Linked DNA regions of Mytilus edulis. The protein of the gene in region 2 purifies or fractionates together with the protein of the main gene of each other region. This does not show direct contact. Links are inferred from orthologs where the notes say so. Each region holds a gene or a part of one and is shown on either strand. Other genes may lie near its edges.

Evidence for each region. The genes of interacting proteins can lie anywhere in the genome.
Region 1: the proteins of valine--tRNA ligase-like (region 2) and elongation factor 1-delta-like purify together in Homo sapiens (affinity purification with mass spectrometry; 5 studies listed by BioGRID and IntAct, counting the BioPlex papers as one, with this or other methods). This does not show direct contact. The link is inferred for Mytilus edulis from reciprocal best matches to the Homo sapiens genes VARS1 and EEF1D.

The regions. Positions count from the first base shown.
Region 1 is NC_092355.1:30,361,410-30,369,764, forward strand, and holds the start of elongation factor 1-delta-like, read right to left. Parts: upstream 3,119-8,355; 5' UTR 3,057-3,118; intron 197-3,056; 5' UTR 196-196; coding exon 100-195; intron 1-99. Other genes in the region: regulator of microtubule dynamics protein 1-like, read left to right, coding at 3,828-4,748.
Region 2 is NC_092345.1:78,969,270-78,977,357, forward strand, and holds the start of valine--tRNA ligase-like, read right to left. Parts: upstream 3,460-8,088; 5' UTR 3,252-3,459; coding exon 3,072-3,251; intron 1-3,071. Other genes in the region: heme-binding protein 2-like, read left to right, coding at 7,200-7,328. UniProt on the Homo sapiens protein: Catalyzes the attachment of valine to tRNA(Val).

The DNA of each region.
Region 1 (8,355 bases), on a different chromosome or scaffold from region 2:
GACGTTTACGGAAACACATATTAATTTTTTTGGCCTAAACAAATTTGTTACTCCTGCCCAAAGATCTAAATTAGTGTACATAGTTTTATGCAGACTTACAGATGTACCAGCAATTGTACATTGATAAACAGCTTCTGCATTTTCAAATTTCTGTTGGTCTCTCCATGTAGAATCTAACAATAGTGGTTGTGCCATCCTGAAAAAAAGAACCACTAGATTATAAACATATAATCTTATTTTACAAATTCAATGTATAACAAATTTGACAATACTCATTTGAATTGTTTAACATGTCATTTCTGGGCCTTTTAAAGTTGACTATATGGTATGGGTTTTGCTCATTGTTGAAGGCAGTACAGTGACATATAGATGTTTAATATCGGTGTAATTTGGTCTCTTGTGGAGAGTTGTCTAATTGGCAATCATATCACATTTCCTTTTTTTAACTTAAAGGGCTTGATACATTGTAAGGCCAAAATAAAAAGATTGTATGTTTGCCCAAACGCGACCGACCCAAAATAAACCCGCCGACTCAAATTCTTTTTTTGACGTTTTTTTGGAAGAATTTTTTTTTTCCGGATTTATTTTGGGTCAGCTCCGTCATCGTACAAAACTTAATGTTTGTCGTCTTTGCGTTTGAAAGTAATTGTGAATAAGATTAAAAGAAAGCGTATAAGAGACGCAGTTAATCGATATTCGATGTTCTCTGTTTTTATCTTCTGATTTAACGAACGTAAAGAAGTATAACAAGTGAAGTGGCACAGTTTTTTTATGCTGTAGTTGTTTGTACTACCAAACCCTTACCTATATGCTCAACATTAATTTCATCGTGTTATTGAATATCTGATAAGAATATTTGGGTAGATTTGTTCAAAACCATGTGCAATCGAATATTTTTAATGTTATTCTGACAGGAAATGGATCTGGAAGTTGCGAATTTATAATCTTGCAAGAAGATTTTGTTTTTACTGAATAAAAAGGAATTATTTCTTGATAAATTGTTGTCTTTAATTATAATCTTCCTTTATCATGTAAATTAGATGCCCTTTTATTCGAATAGTTCAAATTTACAAGTCTCATTAGACAGTCAGTACGTTGCTGTTTGGGAGAATTAGATAAAACTATAATTGCTCACAGAATCAGAAATATAATCTTAACTGAATGTCACTCCTTCTGAATAATTTATTGCAATATAAATATAAATCCCTTTTGACAAGAGAAATCTGACTTTTGTCAGAAATATTTTTTCACATGTGCAAAAGTAAAAACATGTTATGGACGCCATATTGGATTTTTATACAATTTGTGAGGAAGCCCCTAGAACCATGTCAGACCTAAAAATAAAGTCTTCAGAAAACGTTAACTTTATGCAATTTCATTTAATCAATAATGATTATTTTCAAAAATTTAAACTTGATTATTTAAAGAAATAAAATTATAACAAATACGTTTTTAGTTTGGAGATTCTACAGAACATGCTTTGATCTATTTATAGCCAAATTAGTTTACCTGTGTGATAATGTAAAATATAAATTTGTTTTCAAAACATAAAAAAGACACAAACTAAGGATGGTAGATAAAAATTCATATAAATATTTTAGGACATTTAATCTATTTTAATAGAATAGGATTTAAAAACTGCAAACAAATTTAATCATTACATAATCAGCTGATATTTTTTTTACACAAACATCGTGTTGATCATGTTGATGGAACTGTTGAAAATCACTTCACAAATCCAACAGCCCTTTCACACAGTTAGCAATTGTCAGGGTTATAAACATCTCAGGATACAAATCATATAGTAGACTAATTTATTTATAGAGGTTTTAAATTCATGGCTTTTGGTTGTCTCTACAAAGGTTTGACAGAGAAAAAAAAAGATATACTGTTTTAAGATCTTTTAATATTTTCATGCAAATTTGGAAAAAAAAAAGAAAAAAAAATTTGCCTACCTACCTACCCACACCCAGTCATCATGGGTCGGGTTTGGGCAAACTGAAATATTTTTAATTGTGGCCTAACTTGATAAATGTTAATGACTGTTGTTGTTTGTTGGTGTGGTTCACAATTGTTTCTTGTTTTTTTTACATAGATTAGACCTTTAATTTTAAGTTTTTAAATTGTTTTACATGTAGTTATTGTAGGGCTCTTTAAAGATTGCTGTTCCGTGTGAGCCAAGGCTCTGTGGTGAAGGCCTGATACTTTGAATTGTAATTTTTTTACTTTTTATACATGTACATTGGAATTGGAATGGAATACTACATCTTATTTATATGTGCAAAAAAAGATAGGTGTTCTAGTATTCATTTGCTAACAATATTCATTAAAAGTAATTGTTTTCGCTATGGAGGGGGATGGGGCTGTCAGAGGGGACCTGATAAGTGGCAGATCCAGAAATTTCATAAGTGGGGGCCCACTGACTGCCTAAGAGGGGGCCCGCTCCAGTGCTTCCCTATATAAGCAGCCAAATTTTTCCACCCTTGGCCCCCCCTAAATCCGCCTCTGTTGGTCCCGAAATCTCTGGCTTCAAACATGAAATCCTGAGGTCCAAAATTTAAAGAAATTTAAATCCCAGCATTCCAAAATTGGAAACAAGAATTCCAGGATCTCGAAAGGGTCTATCCTGAACACCCGATCCTGACATCTCCAAAAAGGTCTTCCCCCACCTCTACAAAACAGCAGGTCTTTTTTTAGCGCAATTGGTTAACAAAGCAGACATTCTCATAAAAAAATCTTTAAAAAATGAATGAACTTGTTGTTGAACATTACCAGTTTTTCAGAATCTTTTATCAAATTAAAATTTGTTTCAAAATCTGAGTGGACATCATAAGATGTCAACAGCTTGGAGGTGGGATTGACAAATCTGCCTGAGGCTGAGGCAGGTTAGTCCACTAGAGGCATGTATCTCATTAATTATCCCCCCTTTTTCATTAAAGTGGTTGACAATCTTAAAAACCACACCGAAATATCTTTTGACAAAGTTGATTGTATACAGTAGTTGATGATTTATCTGTGTTTGATTTTAATATAACTTTCTACGTGAGATTTCGTACTTTTTGATATATTTTTTTCTGAAGCCGGCTTTGTTCCACGATGTATAGGGAATAAAAGAAAGATTTTAGGACTCAAGATATAATTTACATAAAAGTACGGGCAGATTGAGAATAAAATCCGGGAACATAATGCACTGTACACTCTGGTAGAAATCAAATCTGTCATGACACATTAGAGGATAAATCTTTGTAAATAAAACGAACAAAACCATATTTTCTAGTCAACCATATTTCCTACTATTTATTGATTACTGATTCTTGTTTTCCGGAAAATAAATGAACCGAACTTGTTTCAGAGATTACTCACTGATTACACTGACAACATATTCAGGTGGCACGGTAGTATTTCCCTGCCATAGGCGACAATGTTAACATTTTTCAGATTTTCATGACTTTCTAACACTCCCCAAGACCTAAAACCTACTGTAACTTGAAGTACTTTCATTCAGATATTCAAAAATAAATGAGAAACACCATCATGACCGTTTACTTTTTTAGCTATTGTCACCAGTCTAAGGGAACCAGTCATTTACATCATATTTGGCCGCAGTAAATGCAATATTCTAAAAAAATTCTAAAAGATTTATTTCAATAGTTACATTTGAAAATTGCTATTTTTCAGACTCATAATTGGTTAAAATACTTGAAAAAAATGTTTCTGGTTGATAATCCATTTTAATGTCCAATCACAGTGTCATAAGTATTCACCTAAGTAGGGTACACAAAGGAGCAACCTAAAACGTTGGAAGCAAATACTACCGTGCCACCTTCATGATGCAAAGTTCATTGAAATTTTTTACAAAATTTAGACAGTCATGTGGCGTGGCATACAGATTCTTGAGGTCCCAGAGAAAGGAATCATATAAACAGTTCAAGAAAATCCAATATCCATTGTTTCCTGTACTGGCATTTCAACCTTTTGCAACAGTCCATGCTCTAAGTTTTGGGTTTGGAAAGAAAGAAGAGGTCAAAGAATTGACCAAAGAAGAATTAGTTGTTATAGAAGCTGATAAAATATATACAGCTAATGAGATACTTAAACTGTATGATTTCCTAATTCAGTACAAGGATTGTCAGAATGATGAAATTTTGTGGAGACTGGCAAGGGCTGCGAGCGACAAAGGAAAACTAGTTCAAAATACCAATGAAAAGAAAGCCTGCTTTTTTGAAGCCTTTGAATATGTCAAGAAAGCTCTAGAATTAAATGACAATAATTTTGCCTCTCACAAATGGTATGCCATACTACTTGATTACACAGCAGAATATGAAGGCACGAAAAAAAGAATTTCAAATGCCTTTCATGTGAAGGAACATTTAAAGAGAGCCAATGAATTAAACCCAAAAGATGCAACATCATTGTACTCACTTGGGTATTGGTGTTTTCTATTTGCAGACATGCCTTGGTACATGAGACAAATAGCTTCAGCACTGTTTGCTTCACCACCAACTTCAACTTATGAAGAGGCGCTGGCTTATTTTGAAAAAGCTGAAGAAGCAGATCCTAATTTTTACAGTATGAACTTATTGATGTTAGGGAAAACTTACCTCAGATTGAAGAACCATAATATGGCGCTGAAATATTTAACTAGAGCGAAAGATCAACCTTTAAATAAACCTGATGATGAAAAGGCTCACAAAGAAGCTCTGGAATTATTAAAAAGCATGGGTGTGAAATTAAAAGACCAGCAATAAGAATAACTTGATTATAAGGCTGTTCATTAATACAATTTTTTTCTTGAATACTCAGGTGTTTATTGGTGCAATTGTTCAAATCAATAACTATATATGTACTTTTTCAAAATACATGTAGTATAATATTTTACAAATTACCAAATTAGAATGTATGTACATACAATAAACAGTTATTTATTTGTGGCTTTATCAGTCTTACTTTTCCAAGTAAAATACTAAATGGCCCGGACATGATGTCAAACTAGTTCACCTCCATAAAAAAATAGGGGTGAAGTTTTATCCACTGTAACAATGTTATGTACATGTATATCCACCACAAATCTTGTATAGCTGGTAATGTTTCATATTCCGGACTTTTGTACACTTCCTAATTGATATTGAACATGATGAAAGCATCTAATTTTTTGGATTTTTAGAAAGTTTCTGTATCTTACTAAATGATTTGATAATTACAATAATTATAAATCATAAATGGAATGGTAATACTATAAGTACATGTGTTAAAATAGAGGATGGAATTACAGGAAATGGGAAATATGACAAAAGAGACAAAAACCTGACCAAAAGTTAACATCTCATTTCTATTGATAATTGTCAGCAGCTTAAATACTGTAAGTTCAGAAATTATTGTGTGCATTTATTTTTGCAATTTGTAAAAGATGGACAAAACTGGGAAGTTAATTGTTGAGATTTTAGGAATGCTGCATAAAGATATGTATCTGACAGATATCAAAATAGTAGTTCTTTTTATTACAAAACTTATCCAATAGACCACTTTCCAGTTCATCCATCACCGGAAAAAAATCGTCAATTATGCAGCCTTTATGACGTCATTTACCAGATAGAGGGGATCGCCTGTATCCCTGCACTATTTACGTTCATCAAGTGTCTTAGTGATCGTCATTGTGCAGGATAAACTAGAAATAATGGTCTGTCATTGTCTGTAGGTACTTAATGACAATTCCCTAATAACAGCAGTGCTGATTGTCAATTTTTTAGAATTCAATTTGCAGTATAATTCTTACAACATAGAATTCTAGTTTTCCAATCACTCGCTCAACATTGGAAAGGAAGTGACGACGCCCCTAAACGCACAAATGACGTTCACTAAAACCAGAGTTTTTGAAGGAAATGCATTGAACTCCAAAGTTGTCTATTGCATTATTTGCATTAATTGATAAATAACTTTTTGTACCTCACAATAAATTCTGAATTAAGTTTCACACATGTTTATATGCCCATCTCAAAAAGAGAGGTGAAATATACCAATTGGGCATTCAAACTCGTTAGTCAAAAATAAACTTGACAACACCATGGCAAAAAAAAAAAAATAACCAAATTAAAAAAAAAAACAAGTTGACAGTACACATACGGTAACACAACATAGAAAACTAACAACTAAGCAACACATCATAGGCGAATCCAGGGGGGCCCGGGTCCCCCTTTGGTAGGAAAAATTTGGTTGATTATATAGGGAATCATTGAAGCATGACTGGAGTGGGCCCCCCCTTAGGAAAAGTTCTGGATCCGCCACTGCACATGCACCAACCCCACCAAAATAAAGGGGATGATCTCAGTTCCTTAGGGATGCATATCCTGCTCAACATGTGGTACTGGTTGCCTCAATGTGTCTTGCCAATATGCTATTTTTACCCCCAGGATATTAAGTTTTATTTAAAAAAATATTCTCCTCCGTAATACACATCTCAGAGTCAGGTTCTCACTGAATAGTTTTGAGGGCAATTACAGTTTCAAATATATATGGCAAGTAAGAGTGAAAAGATAAAACTGTATTGGTATACAATTCATCTTCTTAGTGGATACACCATTTGACAATCTTCAGATAAGACCAGGAGGGATTCATGGACTTGTCTTATATTGAGAACCCTGAAATTCATACAATTTTCCAAATAAAATAGATGTGGTGTAGACATCATTGAGACAGCTATATACCCAAATGTCTATCTTGTCATGTTTTGAATCTTTCTTAGTATGGACAAGCTGTAAACAGAGACAACAATCTGTCAGTCAGCATCACAAATTCATAATTGTATAAAACTGGTGGTTTAATCAAGTATGACCACTGACAAAGGTTCTGACTGGACATATTTCATGTGTATTTACATGGTTAAAGAACTTTTAACAAATTTGAATTACTGCATGTTTTCCATTATTTTCTGTATTTTTAAATTTGTTTTTCATTTCTTCATACTTCTGATCTTATTTTTTTAGTCCATTTTTTTTTGGTGGTATTGGCCTGTTATTGATTTCTCTATATATTCTGTAAACCCCATCTAGACACTCCTAAATTGTGCTGAGACTTATCCTTTTTCATACAAGTAAATCTTTTCATTCATTGTTAAACAAATCATGATTTAGGTCTTCTCTGTTGCATTGTTTCGTAATTTTTTTTTATCCTGGTTTTGTTATAGCTTACTATAAGGCATGGATTTGGGTTATTTTTTAAGTCTGTATAGTGACCTATAGGCTATAATTGTTTGCATTGTTTCATTTTGGCCTTTAACTGGATATACAGCTGTTTATTTGGCAATTTTACAACATCTGAGAAAAAGATCAAACCACTTAATATTAACATTGACCAATGAATCATAAAATTAGGTCATGGTCAAATAATTTATGCCAGCCAGACCTGTACAGCTTGCAATCATTTAGACACCAGATGTACATGTAATGGTCTAATCATTAAAAGTACCTGAGAACAGATCAAACAACAAAATCTCAACATTGTCCAATGAACCATGAAGTTGGAGTCTAGGTAAGGGGTCATCCATAATTGTCAACCATTTTCCAAAGTGTACAAAACGTACACTTGGGGGGAGGGGGTTAAAAAATCAACATTTTTACCGTACGCTTTTTTTTTATTTCCGGAATTTATATCGTTTCCGTAGGGAAAGTCGATTTATAAAATCGAGAATTGGCTTGAGTGTTTCTCTTCTTATTTCTTCTTGATTATTTTCACTTGATGATATTGATTTTGATATCATAATTCTACTCAATCGGGATTGAACGATTAAAAGATCAAATCATATGAAAACTAAATCTTTCAAAAATGTGAACTAGTAAAATTATTTAAACAAAAAGTTTTTATGTGTCCTTTTGTTAATCTTTTGCATGCTCTAGGTGCCCTATTTTATTGGAGTTACCATTTCCACTGTGTGATAGGGGAAACACTAATCTTTGTAATCTTTATTCGGACAAAACACAAGCATCACAGATAGATGTCATCAAAAAAAACAGTCAGATATGTTTTAGTTTTTTTTTCAATGCAAAGTTCTATATTAAACTAAAATATAATAGACAGGATCTTCTTTTTATTAAGAATGACTGATTCTTCTCTTGAAATCTGAAAATGGTTGATGTACACTTTTTGAAGGAGGGTGGGGGGTCTGACAAAGTGTACGTTTTGTACACTTTGGAAAATGGTTGACAATTATGGACGACCCCTAAGATAAAACCTGTTGTGTGCACCTTAAAATTATTCCATACACCAAATTAAGTTAAGGTGGTACCCAACACCCTCACTAAAATTTATTTATCGTTTAATTTTCATAAAATTTTGACAAAGTATTTACTTTGACCATTTCAC
Region 2 (8,088 bases):
GGAATATGGAACTATTCTCTAAATACATATATGGGTCCATAGGGTGCAATCAACAGTTTTTTTCTATGACGTCACATTTTGAGGGACCATGCATAAGTGACCTTTAGTGGTGGACTGATCAATAAAGATACTTGTATAAAACTAGATATCACTGGAATCAAAATGTTCTCTAGTTTCTAATGAAATAAAAATAATGTGTACTTTTAATATATTAAAAAAATTCCATCCAATGAACATGGGGGAAAAAAGGTATAATTTTAACATAAAAAATTTGAAACCAGGTCATGTGCACATCCATGAAGACATGATCCATGCACATTTTACATAATCAAAACTGTATGAAATTAGTAGGTTTTTACCTGGCCTTTCAAAAAAATCTTGTTTCAGGGTACGGTCTCCTTCTTCGAAAAGAGCTAGTGGCTGCAAATAAGTTTTCAATTTTCACTGCCAAAAAAACAGGATGTTTACAGTGTTGTCCACCCTCAAAACATGTAAAGTTGATATAATTTTTAAAATTATTTCAATCATTCAACCTGTTTTAATTGAAAGCTAATTAACTAATTTTTACAATCAAATACAAAAAACATGATACTTTTTCACCAATTGAGTAAATAAACAGGGGTTTCCCTCCATGGTTATTTTTATTTGGGGAATAACCCCTAGTTTTTTATACGAAACTGTTTATAGCACCCATAAGCAGACTCTCTTTTACGGGTCCGACGACTTACAGAAAAGAGCGACGATTTACAGAAAAGAACCAAAAAGGACCGAAAAAGAAAATCATTTTTTTTTGTTATCAAAGGAGATTAGCAAAATGCAAATCATTTAAGTCTATAAATGAAAAGAAATTTACAATAACGTGCTCTCACCATTTTTTGTAATTCTTTATTTTTCTTAAAGTGACGGTCATCATGATTTAATCACATGTCACAGTGGCACCTTAACAAATGTTTTAGACATTTAACATCCGAGAGGAAATGGTGATTCTGAAATGTATATTTTTTGTATTTCACCCAGTGCCACCAGGCAATATGTTGACATCTTCTTTATATCTATTATAAACAAATATTTAATTGATTAGATTAAAATCCTTGATGAAAAATAAATGATAATTTAGAATCATGTAGCATACTTATATTAAAAAAAAATATTACTAAAAAAACAAATTATATTGTCTCTTTTTTGGAAGTCCACATTTCTCTATAAATGTACGATCTAAAATAAATGTAAATTTGAATTATGCATTTATTTATTAAGAGGAATTGTTAACAGTATAAATAAATAGTGTATATGTACATTGCCTTAATTCTATATAATGCTCTTTTAGGTTCTTTTCTGTATTCGTCAGGCCTAAATTAAAATATTGTTTGTTTGCCCTTTACCGACCAACCCTATGAATTCGTTCCGACTGAAAATCTTTTATTTGTATTTCCCGGCAATATTTTATTTTATTTTTTTTCTTCGTTCCTACCGAAAATCTTATATTTGTATTTACCGCTCAAAACTTTTTTAACGGAATCCTCGGGTTTTATCTTCCTCGTACAGTGTTTTGTCCGTTTGGTATCACTAGAGCGTTTGACACGAACACGTGCATTTAGAGATTTAAAGCATTGGTTTGAAATCGATGTCGAAAGTTTTAAAATCATGACGAACATTGCCCTGTGTGTCTTTATACTTGAAGAGCAGGGTTCATTAAGAATAAGTTTGTCCAAAACAAAATTATCAACGTGTGTACAAAATATTTTGTAAACGGACGTTGTATCTTATGTAGGGAGGACTTTGCTGATCAGGAGATCAGGATGATAATGATGCCACGTGAATGATGCCTTCGACCAGCTTTGGCATATTATTTATATCTGACATGAACCAAAAGGCCTGTAAAGGGAAGAATAATTGGCAGTAAAATCGCCAAGTTTTTCCTTATAGACCATTTATAAAGGCAATGTAAAATACGTGACAAGTGAGTTTCAAGTCTTGAAGCATTTTTATAGGAAACACCGGCCCACAGGAAAATTTAAACACTCGAGGGTTGAAAGTAAAATAAGACAAATGCTTAGTTTTAGCTCTTCTAACTGGTTGCAAAACGATGATGGCGGGAAATGGACTACCGGGCAGTGGCTTTATATTCTAATCAAATTTTCTTTTTATTTCACAGATATGGCTCTGGTATTCTAAGTCAGGGACTTTCCATAGTATAGAAAGTCCCTGTTTAAGTTCAAATGTTGATAAAATTATTAGCATGTGAATAAAACATGCTATAGGTTGCACATTGTAAATACAGCTGATTCACAAACCATGCTAGGGAGAGATAGATAATTAATATTTTTGTCATACTGGTTACCAGATATGATCTCTCATGTTTCATCTCCTAGAGACATGATTTGGGATTGGTCACCATATACCGTCAAATTGAAATATGTGGAAAATCTAAGGTCGAGGTAAGGGTAAGTAGTAAAGACTTTTAGTGTAAGTTAAAACTCAAAAGTTCCAGGCATATAAACATTGAAAATATGCCACATAGTCCTTTATTTTTATATTTGAAGAAAAAAGGTAGCAGTGCATATATGCATTAACTTCACTTTCTATATTTTTTTCAAAACCTCCTAGGACTATTATACTAAATTAAATAATCCCAGAAACTTCATAGTAAAAGCATACTTAAACAAATGCAATACAGACAACAATGATATCCTGCAGATTTTGTATCTATAAAATAAAATATTATACCTACCCACCTACCCATGACAAAAAATGTACAGAGTCAAATTATTTTTTGGGAAATAAAAATAAAATATTTTACCTACCTACCTACCCTGTTTCAAAAAATAGGGTCGGAAAAGGGCAAACAAATAATATTTTAATTTAGGCCTCGCTCTTTTCTGTAAATTGTTGGACCGTTATATTTCCATGCAACTCATGAGAGGAACCAGGTGAAAACATTAATAGAATACAACTGGAGGGCGATCAAGTGAATGTGGCGAGTTTACCTATTGCAAGATATATAAAAGCTAAAAGTAGATATCAACAATATAAAACAGTCTCACAATATAACAATAATGGCAATATTCTACCTGGGTGTCCCCTTCCTTCTTGGGTTGATCTTGCTTCTGTTTGAGTTTTTCTTGTTTTGCCTTAAATTTTTCAAGTTTTTCTTGTTTTTGTTTTTCTTTCAAAAGTTCTTTTTCAGACTTCACTTTTGGTATACCCTGTTCTGGTCCATCTCCAACAGCCTGTGAACTGTCGGTTTCCATTATACCGAAATCCAAAGATTGGTGTATTAAAAATTGATATTATACTAATCAAGTCAAATGATGCAATATTGGGAAAGAGATTGTTGATACAATGCGTTGAAATATTACAGAAAATAAGCTAAATGATTAAAATTGTGAGTTTCAAGATTTTTGTGATTGCAGCATACACATGGCTAACCCGGAAGTGAAACCTCAAATAAAAAATATCGGGCACGTATCTGGTTATTTATCCGGAAAATGGCTTTTTGAGGTTTTTTTTCACATGGAAATACACACATACATAAATATTAACAAACCACAAACAAAATGGAAACTCACGCACATACATACACAATATTCTTGCAAAATAAAAAAATATATATGTAGGGGTGCACTCATCATGTCATCATGGCTATACAGACTGATATGGCAGGTCCTATTAGCTGATACAGAGACATATAATACATGTATTATATGAATCTTATATGTCTCTGGCTGATATAAAGGTCACAAGTTATGACCCTTAAATTCATTTAATCATCTTCTGAGATCACCGACAACCACACGTTAATCAATTTTTTATACAATTGGCTCGGAAGATGTGGTATGATTGCCAATGAGACAACTCTCCAATAGAGAACACCAAATGACACAGAAATTAACAATAAACAAACTGCACATATTATTACCGCATGATGCCATCATCAGCTATAAAGGCCCGAAATGACAAATGTAAAACAATTCAAACAAGAAAGCTAACGGAATAATTTATGTACAAAAAAATGAACGAAAAACAAATATGTAAGTGACACATCAACAAACGTAAGAGCGGTCGCGGTTCATGTCAAAATAGCGATCTTCTTTCTTCTTTTGTTACAGAAAACCATCAACGTACTGATGTTTACTTTCCGGCGTATGCAGGGTAAATGTTTCTAAATAAATTGATATGGATAATTTTTTGTCAAATTGACATAGATTAACAAAATATTTCTTCTTTGAATTGTTTTTGGTCGTATTTTTTACGCACATACACAATATTCTTGCAAAATAAATAAATGCATCTAGATGGTTCCATGTAGATGCATTTTCCATCTAGATACTTCGCATAACCATCTAGATGCTACGCACAAGTATCTAGATAATTCGTGTTAGTATCTAGATGCTTTGTTGAAGTAATTAGATGGTCGAAAAGTCCGACTTGAAATCTTGAGTATTCTGTCGTATTTTTAACCAATGGAATTAGATACTTGTGCGATGCATCTAGATACTTGTGCGTAGCATCTATAGATACGTCTTGAAAGCATCTATAGTTACTTTTAATTAGTATCTAGATGGTTCGCATATAAGTATCTAGATGCTTCCTACAAGTATATAGATGCTCGCACAAGTATCTAGATGTTTGGAACAAGTGTTAAGATGCATCGCACAAGTATCTATAGATGGTTGTTGAAAATATCTGAATTGAAAAAGGTATCTAGATATTTCGCTAAACTTATCTAGATGTATCTTACAACCATCTAGATACTTATAAGAAGCATCTAGATACTTGTTTAAAGTATCTAGATTCTTTCAACATGTATCTAGATAGAAAAAACAACTATAGATGGAACCATCGCTATTTTGACATAAACGGCCACTCATACAAACGACAATCCCTTAATTACAGGCTCCTGACTTAGGACAGGCACATATAGTACAGACAGAATGTGGCGGGGTTAAACAAGTTAGCGGGATCTTAACACTACCCTAACCTGGGATAGTGGTGTAACAGTACAACATAAGAACGAACTATTATATAAAAGTGCCAATCTTAAAAGATTTATGAGAGCGGACTGTAAACAAACTAAAAAAAAATCGATAATGTACTTTATATATATATAATAAATATAAGTTGCTTAAGAATATCATTGAAATAAAGCATAATCAGATTTATAAAAAAAAACGACATCTAATTAAAAATATTACTACAGGTTCTGAGTTTTTTTTTTTCAAATGTGCGATTTCGATTTCGGAAGTATTGGCACGCAATATTGCTCTCGAAATAAAATAGCTATATTTTATTTCCATTCTCAATTTTATTAAATCATTCTCAAAGGTAACTTTGGCATTGATCCCGATTCCCCAGTTATCACACTGACGATGCGACATGTGATTGTCTATTCCGCCATTCAATTCCATTTGAGAAATGATTCAGATCGAAGTTTATAATGCGTTTTGTACAAATGCTTGATAGTCATTCTACTAATCTGCACCGTATGATCTTTTCGGTTATAAGGTCAAACTGATATTTTAAGTACACACACCAAAGATGGTTTGAAAAAAATGCATGTGGCCATTTTTCATATCCTTTTAAAAGGCGAAGTCATTATTGATGTTTTATAATTTCGCAAGTTGAATTAACAGTATTTCCTCAGTGTACTTAAAACAGAAAGATGTCTCTCTGATCCTCTCTGGCTTCTAAAATCAAACCGAATTGTATGTCAGTAACCATAACTGACCGTTTTCGAGGTTATTCTCAGTTTATCTCTAAATATTTGTGTTGTTAGAATAGATACACGTGGGTATCAATGTGTTTTGTTTAGTGTAAAGTAGTAAACTTGTTGCATAATGGTCTAACACTATATATATAACCGACAGAGAGTACCAACTATTCATTGTGGAGAAATTAACGAAAACAAGGTAAGATTTTTATTTAATTTTCATAGATAGAAAGAATAAACTTTCAATTCGAACCTTAATTATACAAACGTAGACCAAGGACTCACAAGGCCTATATATAATATAGTCTTGATCTGTGTTTTGTGATTATAAGCATTTTGTATAAGATTCGTAACATTTGATTGTGGCAAACTCAAGTAAGAGAACGGAAACCATTTTTGGGACGTACGAATGACGGACAAGGGTAAAACGTGCGACATGCATGGTTAAACATGTTAACCATAGGCGGATCCAGGGGGGGGCCTGGGGGGACCGGGCCCCCCTTTTGTGGGAAAAAATTGGTTGATTATATAGGGAATCACTGAAGCATGACTGGAGCGGGGCCCCCCTTAGGTCAGTCAGCGGGCCCCTCCCCCCCCCCCCCCTTAGGCAAAGTTCTGGATCCGCCACTGTTAACGGGCGCCCAAACCATCCCTCTAATCTAAGACGGAGCATGGCGAAATAGCAACACACAGAAACAAACACACAGGCACTTGTCTCATATTATTGTTTTCCTCTATATCCTAAATAATGGTATATAGGAATTTTGTTTTCTGAGACAAGTGCCTGTGAACAAATACAATAAATGAAAAACGAATCATGTATCCAATACTAATATTGAAAAATAAGAAACCACCGAATTACGATTGGAGGGTAATAACAACTAAAGGCAATCGTTCGATCATCAAACATGATCAGAAACCATATAATTTTCCTCTAATTGAACCGATTCAAAACTTTTAATTCATGCTTTTTGTTCGAAAAATCCTATAATTGAGGTTTCTTGTTGTGCTCCGCAAAAAGTTGTTTATGATTGTTTATAATATATTCTACTTTGGGACTTTCAATTGTTACATTTGGAACCTTATATTTATCGAACATAAGCATTGTTATCTATACTTGTAACTGTGTTTTACGAACTTTAGAAAAAAATATATCTCGAATACTGATATATATATATACGACTATTAGTTTAAATGTCAATCAAAATTTTCATTTGTAAACAGCTTCAATGGAATATAAAAATAAGAAAACGTGGTAGCATTGCCAATGAGACAAATCTCCACCAGACCAAATAACGCATATGAGTCAAAAACTATATAGGTCAATGTAAAGCCTTCAACAATGAGAAAAAACCAGCTATAAAAGCCCTCAAATGCCAAAATGTATTAAAAAAATCAAACGGGGAAAAGGCCCTTGAGAACTTCGTTAACTTATGTATGAATTCTTATTTGTTTAACACGTTTTATTTCAGTAATCAACAGATCCAATATGTTATTCCAGTGTGTTCTTTCATCTCTGCTGGTCTTTGCATTCACGGCGACAGTCCCTTCTCAACAAAAACCAACCTTCTGTCATGATTTAGACTGTCCAAATTTTACCACGGTTCAATCTTTTAAGGTAAATCTTTTTTTTATATATTTACGTCGGAACACTGTAGACATATTGTGTCTAGATTTAATTCAGTAACTCTCTTTGTCTACAAATATAAAGAATTTATTCTATAATAATAATTGTAATAGTGACGACAAGTCAATAAAATTTGATTATGCAAGTTCATAAATGGAGGCATGTTTACACACAGACTCAATTTGTATGAATGTTTCCGTATACTGAAATGCTAAAGAAACGACTGCAAATTAAACACGTTTTGATTATGCTCTAAAATTTAAACTGCATATTGACAAAACAAACCGTTACGAGTGGGACAAAGGTCAAATCAGAAGGCACAAAACAGAACTCAAAACATGTCTAACATAAAAAATTCACTTTTCTGTCAATCACTTATGCGTTGGCTTCAGACACAAGGTTAATAACCACAAAAAGAAGGTTGAGATTGATTTTGGGGGTTATGGTCCTAACAGTTAGGGGGTCAAAAAGAGGCCCAAATAAGCATTTTCCTAGTTTCCAGACAATAACTTATGGGATGGTGCATGGATCTCTCTGAAATTATACCTCAAGTTTCCATACCACAAACGGATGTAAGAATTGGCTTTGGGGGGTTATGAATCTTACCGTTTAGAAATTATGGACAAAATAGGAGAACTATTACTTAATAAGTACAAAACATAATTTAAAAGCAGTCTAAGGGAGGTAATTCAAATACAACATTTTGAATTACCTCCCTTACACCGCTTTTCAATTATGTATAAAGAAATGT